Nothobranchius furzeri: one gene and its partner. The protein of the gene in region 1 purifies or fractionates together with the protein of each later gene. This does not show direct contact. Links are inferred from orthologs where the notes say so. Each region holds a gene or a part of one and is shown in the gene's direction. Other genes may lie near its edges.

The links.
Region 2: the proteins of gli2a (region 1) and sufu purify together in Homo sapiens (affinity purification with mass spectrometry; 3 studies listed by BioGRID and IntAct, with this or other methods). This does not show direct contact. The link is inferred for Nothobranchius furzeri from reciprocal best matches to the Homo sapiens genes GLI2 and SUFU.

The regions. Positions count from the first base shown.
Region 1 is NC_091747.1:25,493,804-25,497,316, forward strand, and holds part of gli2a (zinc finger protein GLI2a), read left to right. Parts: intron 1-906; coding exon 907-1,056; intron 1,057-2,080; coding exon 2,081-2,245; intron 2,246-2,817; coding exon 2,818-3,093; intron 3,094-3,513. UniProt on the Homo sapiens protein: Functions as a transcription regulator in the hedgehog (Hh) pathway. Functions as a transcriptional activator. May also function as transcriptional repressor. Requires STK36 for full transcriptional activator activity.
Region 2 is NC_091752.1:22,197,737-22,201,952, reverse strand, and holds the start of sufu (suppressor of fused homolog), read left to right. Parts: upstream 1-1,415; 5' UTR 1,416-1,496; exon of another isoform or gene 1,497-1,586; 5' UTR 1,587-1,614; coding exon 1,615-1,763; intron 1,764-2,723; exon of another isoform or gene 2,724-2,823; intron 2,824-3,248; coding exon 3,249-3,383; intron 3,384-3,601; coding exon 3,602-3,738; intron 3,739-4,216. UniProt on the Homo sapiens protein: Negative regulator in the hedgehog/smoothened signaling pathway. Down-regulates GLI1-mediated transactivation of target genes. Down-regulates GLI2-mediated transactivation of target genes. Part of a corepressor complex that acts on DNA-bound GLI1.

The DNA.
Region 1 (3,513 bases):
GTCATCCATCCGACGACCTTTAAGTCTTTTAACATGAAGAACACAAGTATTAAGTAGAAAAATCTGGGAAAATGCAATTCAATTCAATTCAATTTCAATTCAAGTTTATTTATAAAGCGCCAAATCACGACAAGAGTCGTCTCAAGGCACTTCACATAATAAACATTCCAATTCAGGTCAGTTCATTAAGCCAATCAGAAATAAGGTTTCCTATATAAGGAACCCAGCAAATTGCATCAAGTCACTGACTAGTGTCAGTGACTATACAGCAACCCTCATACTAAGCAAGCATAAAGCGACAGTGGAGAGGAAAACTCCCTTTTATACACTCTTCTGTGTAAAAACTAGCTTTTTTTATATTTATGCTAAATTTCCCCAAGAAAATGATGACAATGTTGATTTTTAAAACATTCCTTATGAGTGTGATTTGTTGTAGTCCCACATCCGAGACGAGTCGGAGCTGAAAGGAAACCGGCCAATCGTTGGCCGGGCTGTACGGCGAAAATTCAAAGTTTCTCCTCATTTTCACTCCAGTCTCCAAGTCCTCCCAAACTTCTGCTGGTACCAGCCTCTCCCTGGGAAGCGACTGGTGCTGATTTGTTTTCAGTCGCCTCGTAAGGAAGTTCCTCTTCCTGAAGAAAAGTAACGGCGAACGCACACGGCCTGAACAAACAGTTGTTTTATTGCCTTGCTCTCCTATTGACATTAAAACTGTCACCGATAACATATAGAGCCGCCCGTCTTGCTGACGGCGCAGCGGAGGGAGAACCTGATTGTGGGAAAAACACAAGAATGTTCCAACTCACACGTGTCAACACACTCGAGGTTCTTCTCACAGTTACGGCTCTGGTTGTGAACACATGCTCCCGGTGCTGATGATTGACCAGATCTGATTTGTCCACGCAGCACATCAACAATGACCACATCCACGGGGAGAAGAAGGAATTCGTGTGTCGCTGGGAGGAGTGTTCCCGGGAGCAGAAGCCCTTCAAGGCCCAGTACATGCTGGTGGTCCACATGAGGCGGCACACGGGGGAGAAGCCACACAAGTGCACAGTAAGAGCTTGGGTTTAGGAGGGCCTGTCGTGGTGGACGCCTGCTGGTCCCTTTTCCTCTGGCATCCTTCATATTTTACTTCCAAACTAAAAGTTCCAGCTGAACTTCCAACGGAGTTTCAGCCTTCTTTGCTTTGCTGGGGGAGTTTGCAGCAGAGGCCGAGTCTAGAACAGTCTATGGAGATCTGAGGTTTTGTTTCATTAAAATCTGTTCCGGAGACATCTGGCCCACAACACCAGGACATTTCAGTGTGACTGAACCTTTGACCAGGTGCAGCTTTCAGACGGATGGATCCAGATGTCGTTAGTTAGAGGTTTTCATCATGTGATCTGGTCCACATTGATAAATCAAGGCGTTTCCTTGAAGATTAGACTTAGTGCCTGTTTGCTTGTGGCTTCAAAGCTCACTGGCTGGCTCTTGTGAATGCATTAAAACACTTGTGAAGGCGAAACGTTAAAACGCTGACTGACAGCGTGACTGTGTAATTACACTCTGCAGAGGCGCAGGGGGCCAGGGGTCCTTATTAAGTTCAGGCTGTACATTCTCCGTTCAAATCCCACATGCATCTTCTCATAACCCTCCATCTCCTCCTCAACCACATCTCATAAAGTCTTCTGATGTTTTTATCCTCTCTCTGAGCTGCTCTTATATGATTCTCTTTTAATTTCAAAGCCAATTACTCTCACAATGACTGCTTAGAAGGAATACCAAATTATAGCATGTAGAGTACAAGAGAACACAAACGCTAAAACACAGAGTTGTCTTTGTCTCAACAAAGCCCGGCAGGCAGAGCGCACCACCACACCTCACACTTAGATACTTCCCACAAAGTGCTTTTATTTGTTTATTTATTTATTCTGCTAAAGTGTAACAGAGCTTTGCTTTTGTGTGGCACGCCACATCAGGTGGGCACGCATCCAGGACTGATTACACCTAAAAGCTCTTTTGTGTGTGTTGCTGCTTCACGGCTGCAGACTACGTAGCCTGGAGTTACTCCAGTCTGATTGTGTTTCTGTTTCTACAGTTTGAGGGATGCTCCAAAGCTTACTCTCGCCTGGAGAACCTTAAAACCCACCTCAGGTCCCACACCGGGGAGAAGCCTTATGTGTGTGAGCACGAAGGCTGCAACAAGGCCTTCTCCAACGCCTCCGATCGGGCCAAACACCAGAACCGCACACACTCGAACGAGGTTTGTTCATGCACGGCTTTGATGTTTTACAGAGAACGCAACTTTAGCCTCATTATTTCACGATGAAAAATCAAATCAAACTAACATTGAATTGGATCGACATGAAGGATCGAATGGATTCTAACTGCTAATGTCCACCAATCAGATCGTCTGTCTGACATTTACTTTTTAAAAATATAAAGTACTACTTCTAGTCCATCGTGTGTGTGCGTGCGTGCATGCGTGCGTGCGCTGTCTTCTCAACCCCAGTGAGTCGTGGAGGATGGCTGCTTATACTGAGCCAGGATTGGAGGTTTCTTTGTGTTAAAAGGGAGTTTTCCTCTCCACTGTCGCTGCATGCTTGCTTAGTATGAGGATTACCGTACAGACTCTGACACTAGTCAGTGACTCGATGCAACCTGCTGGGCTCCTTATATAAAATCACACACACACACACACACACACACACACACACACACACCTTTAGCCTTTTGTTTAGGTAAACAGAAACACCAGATTCAAAGACTGACGGACACAATTCCATGTAAAGGTGATTCCTACTGGATGTGAATCATTTCAATTCCCTGTTGCAGAAACCGTACGTGTGTAAAATCCCGGGCTGTACGAAGCGCTACACTGACCCCAGCTCTCTCAGGAAGCACGTTAAGACCGTCCACGGACCTGAAGCCCACGTCACAAAGAAGCAACGCGGCGACGCTCCGCCGAGGCTGCAGCCGCCCAAAGGAAACGGGGAGAACGACTCCAGGCACGGATCGAGAGGCGTGGATGGGAAGACCGAGGCCAACAGCACCTCTAGAGGGGCGGAGGACTGTCTGCAGGTCAAGTCTATCAAGACGGAGAACTCAGTGGTGAGTTCAGATGAAGCATCAGCTGCACGCTTCTTCTTTCCTAACCTGCCTTGCTTCAGTCCTTTTGATTAGTTGACTCCTAAACTCAGAGGAAACGTGTTTTTAGACTCTGGATTGTTCCTTATTTCTGTTTCTCCTTTAACCTCCGGCTAATGGACAGACTACTCTAAGGTGAGGTGGCGGTTTTCTGTCTTCAGCTTTAATCATTGCATTATTTTCCTTTTGCATGGCGTGGGTGCATCCTGCCTCTTTCTTCATCCCGTCTCCACACCAGACCATGACACCCCACAGACCTAAATCCAGATGTTCATCAGACAGATAAAACCTCCATCGTGTTCCTTTTGGGCTGGAAATAACTTCTGAACCACAGAAATCATCTTTAATGCTTATTTTATTTTAATAAATGAATCAATAATGAAT
Region 2 (4,216 bases), on another chromosome or scaffold:
TATGAAACAGATGATATCAACTTGATGCTCATAACATCCATCGGAATCATCACAATCATAGGTCGGCCACGTCACAATATCAAAGCTGAGCTTTTCAGAGTGACGAGTCTGTACGTATATTTTCTGTTCTTAATCTATTGCCTGAAAGTTTCCCTACAGTTTTTACTCACGCCCTCAGTAATAGTTGGGTTCTCTGTAAACCTGAGAATCCTCCTGTTCCCAGGCCATAATGATCAAAATTCAAATTTTTTTTCTTTCACTGTGATCCACGACAGTTTTTAAAATTACTTCTGTTTTTGTACCAGAACAATATAGTTATTATATAGTTGAGCCACAGTGGAAACTTTGTAAAATATGTAAACTACATTAAAATGCACCAAAAATATAAATGTGAAGAAACGTCACATTAATACTGTGTTTTTTTCACAATACTGTCTACAGAACTTTGTAAAATAGATTAGCCTATACACAATAATGATTTAGGAAACAGATATAGATGTACATGAATATAGAAGTGATTTTATTATCACTGTTGTGACCCGGAATGTCATCTGTATGTTTATATGATGTTCATTTAATTTTTTGTATGTAACTGTCTTGATGTTATAAAATAAAACAACTAATAAAGAACAAATTATCATGCAGTTGTCTTCATTGAGTTCTGGACAATAATTAAGTAAAACCCCAAGCTTATTTATAGTTCCATGCTATATGGAGCAGATATTTAGGCGTTGTTGTTTAATGCAATTCAACAAATGCCCAGCTTTATGGTTGTGGTAGTTTTTTTAAATGGTGGTTTTGCCAAATGTATATCAGTGAGTGCAGCCGGCCTTCATGACACATTCACTTCAGTTTTATATTTGATTTAGTTATTTAAGTATTGTGATGATTTGTTGGTTACAAAGCACAAAGAAATGTGAAGAGAACAAGTTCTTAAAAAGACTACATGAACCCAAACAAAACCAGACATGCAATTGTTTGAGTTTACTATTTATAAGGAATGAGTCATAGTTTTAGAAAAAAACAGCCCATTAATGCTGTTCACAAAAGTTTTACTTCCTGGCATAACCTTGTGAAACATAGTTTTATATTAGTTTAGTTATATATTTCTTAAAATCTAAGCTGTAACATTAGTTCATTTATTTATTTATTTTAGTCTTTTGAAATTTCATCTCAGACGTTTCAATGGAAAACACTTTGCTGCGTATTTTAACACCATATGTTTTCAAAAATGAAACTCTAAAATTATGTTATCATCTGCCCCCTGAGAAACTTCTGAATTATGAGGACCCAACCCTGAACATATACCCGCCTTCTTACAACCACTCAGCCAATCACAGTCATGTTTAAATCCATATTTCATTGTCATTGGCTAACAACACCATTCACTCAATGACGTTTACACCGGCCCAACCAATAGTTGAACAATTGAATGCTCCCTTTTCTCTATTTTGTGTACCAGGACGAGCAACAGGCTCCAACAACGTTTTAGCACAGTAATCTATTTCTGGTTACACAATTCGTTTGTGAAGCATTCATGTAGGTGAACAAGTTAACTAAACGGATTATACGTTGTTTCTTTATAGAAAAAAGTGACTTGTTCGAGGCCCTGGCATGGATGAAGTACGGCCTACCAGTGGTGCCCCAGCCCACGGGCTGGTGCCGCTGTTTCCTCCGGGACTACAGGCTATCTATGGAGAATGTCGGCGACTTTACCCCGAGCAGGCCAACCCTCTGCAAGTTACTGCCATTGTTAAGTATTGGTATGTAACATGTTTTGTTTTTGCTGGTATAATTATGCCTGCGTGAAGTTTGTGAATGCGTTTATTTAGCTTTAGCTAAATGCTAGCCTTCAGTTAGCTTAGCCTACGTGCTAACGTAAACAGTTTTGCTAACTTTCTAAACGATCGTGTGGCCAAAAAAAACTGCTCACGCTATATGTGTCCCTTACAAAACACGATACAAGCACAGCAATATTCAAAAGACAACCTAATAAAATAATACGTATACAGAAAATTTGACGTTATAATTCTTAACTGATTTATTGTCAAATATTCAGTATCTTATAATTCTACAGTAATACTTTTAGCATGGTGTTTGAAGAATAAACCTATCTAGGATAATATGTAGATTTCACCTGAACTCTACATGAAGTATTACACTTTAATCCCCAGAATCTCCGGAAAGAGGAAAATTGGGGTGAGGCAACCTATAACGTTGTTTTTTCAGTATAAAACAAGAAAATATGAAATGCAATCTTCATTATCACATTAGACTGTTTTAAATAGGATTTGATATTTGCTCAGTAGTTGTGCTGAGGGTAGAGGTCTTATTCTTAACCCATTTATGATGGAAACTCATATTTAAGCAGTTTTTAAAATGTTGCCAGGGACATTTAATAGATCAAAGAAAGCAAATATTTTATATTTCCATTCCTAGAAGTACAATTCAATTCAAAAATACTTTATTAATCCCAGAGGGAAATTGATTGCTGTAGTAGCTCAGAATAATAATAATAATCAAGTCATCAAAGAGTTGTTGTATATTACAATGGCTGTTGGCAGGAAGGATCTCCACTAGTGATTACTGTTGCAGAGAAACTGAAGAAGCCTCTGACTGAAGACACTCTTCCGTTGTCGGACAGTCTTGTGAAGAGAATGCTCAGGGTTGTCCATAATTTTCTTGATTCTCTGGAGAATCCTTCTTTGCATTATCTCCTCCAGTGGTTCCGAAACTGCAGAAACTCTGGCTGAGTCGTTGAAAGGACCTCCATCTTGTTGGCCAGTGATCTCACATTGCCCATTATGATCAATGGAAGAGATGGTTTGAATTTCCTCTTTCTCCGTTTCCGTTTTGCTCCCGCTCTGCACCCACGCTTCTTGCGTTTTAGCTCATTTGGGATTTGTGGCTTCAGTTGAGGTATTATTTCAGCCTTTCCAATGTTAATCAGCTGCTCCCGATTGTAAACTAGCTTGTTGCCATGGTTACACATCATAACAAATGCTCAAAAAGGGAAAAAAGCTATAAAAAAACGAAGGCTTGAATAATATTATATGTTGTGATGATGATGTTATGATTTAAACAATATTTTCAATAAACTTTAGATGCTTCAGCTAACATCTGTTATCCAGTATCAAACAAGTCAAGCAAGAACTAAATATGAAAACAAAAACTAGCAAGTAATTTTACGCCCCACATGCTAACTAAGTGCTCTATGACTGATGGTTTGCATTTTGCTCTTTTAACAGGCTTGGTGGACCAGACCCTTTAGACTACATCAGCATGTACAGGAACATGGGCTGTCCAGCCCAGGACGTCCAGGAGCATTGGCACTATGTTAGCTTTGGCCTGAGTGACCTTTATGGAGACAATCGTGTTCACGAGTGAGTGAAGGAAAAGTTTTATTATTTTCTAATATGACAAGCCACTTTGTGTAAAAAATATGTAAATTTCTAGTTAATTTAGTTAAAAAGTGGGGTGTCACCAGTCAGTCGGATAAATATTTGCACTATACACCTTTTACAGTGAAACCTTCAACACCACATGCAAAAACCACTGATCTTACTGGCTCATGCTCAGTGTTGCCTCACCGTTCTTGCAGATTTACTGGAGCAGATGGACCCAGTGGGTTTGGGTTTGAGCTCACTTTTAGACTCAAAAGAGAGGCGGGAGAGACGGCACCTCCAACGTGGCCAGCTGAACTCATGCAAGGCTTGGCTCGCTATGTGTTCCAGTCAGGTAAGATTAAATGGTCATCTTTTAGCAAATCTGCAGTGATTGACCTTGGAGAAAAAAATTTGTTTTTTTATTTATTTATTTTTGCCTTTTTTCTTTTTGATTAACTTTTAATGTTCAAGAATTGTTTTTATTCAGTCATGCATCCTCTAGGATAACTGAGAGTGTTGATCGATTCAGCCACAGTTTATAGATCATCTACTGCATGTTTGTGTTTTGCCACCACAGCAGGATGTTGTAAATTTAAAGGTCATGCTTTTTGTGCATGCTGCTTGCAGTTACAGTATTTTGACATCATAGCTGAATAGAAGTCAAGGCAGTTTCATTTGTATAGCACATTTCATGCACAGTGGCAATTTAATGTGCATTCCAATAGGGAGAACATTAAAATTTAAGATTTTTATTTAAAAGTTTCTAGAGTTGGGGCACATTTGAGGTCACAAAGAAGCTGGGTCCATCTGTTTGCAGCATAGTAGCTAAA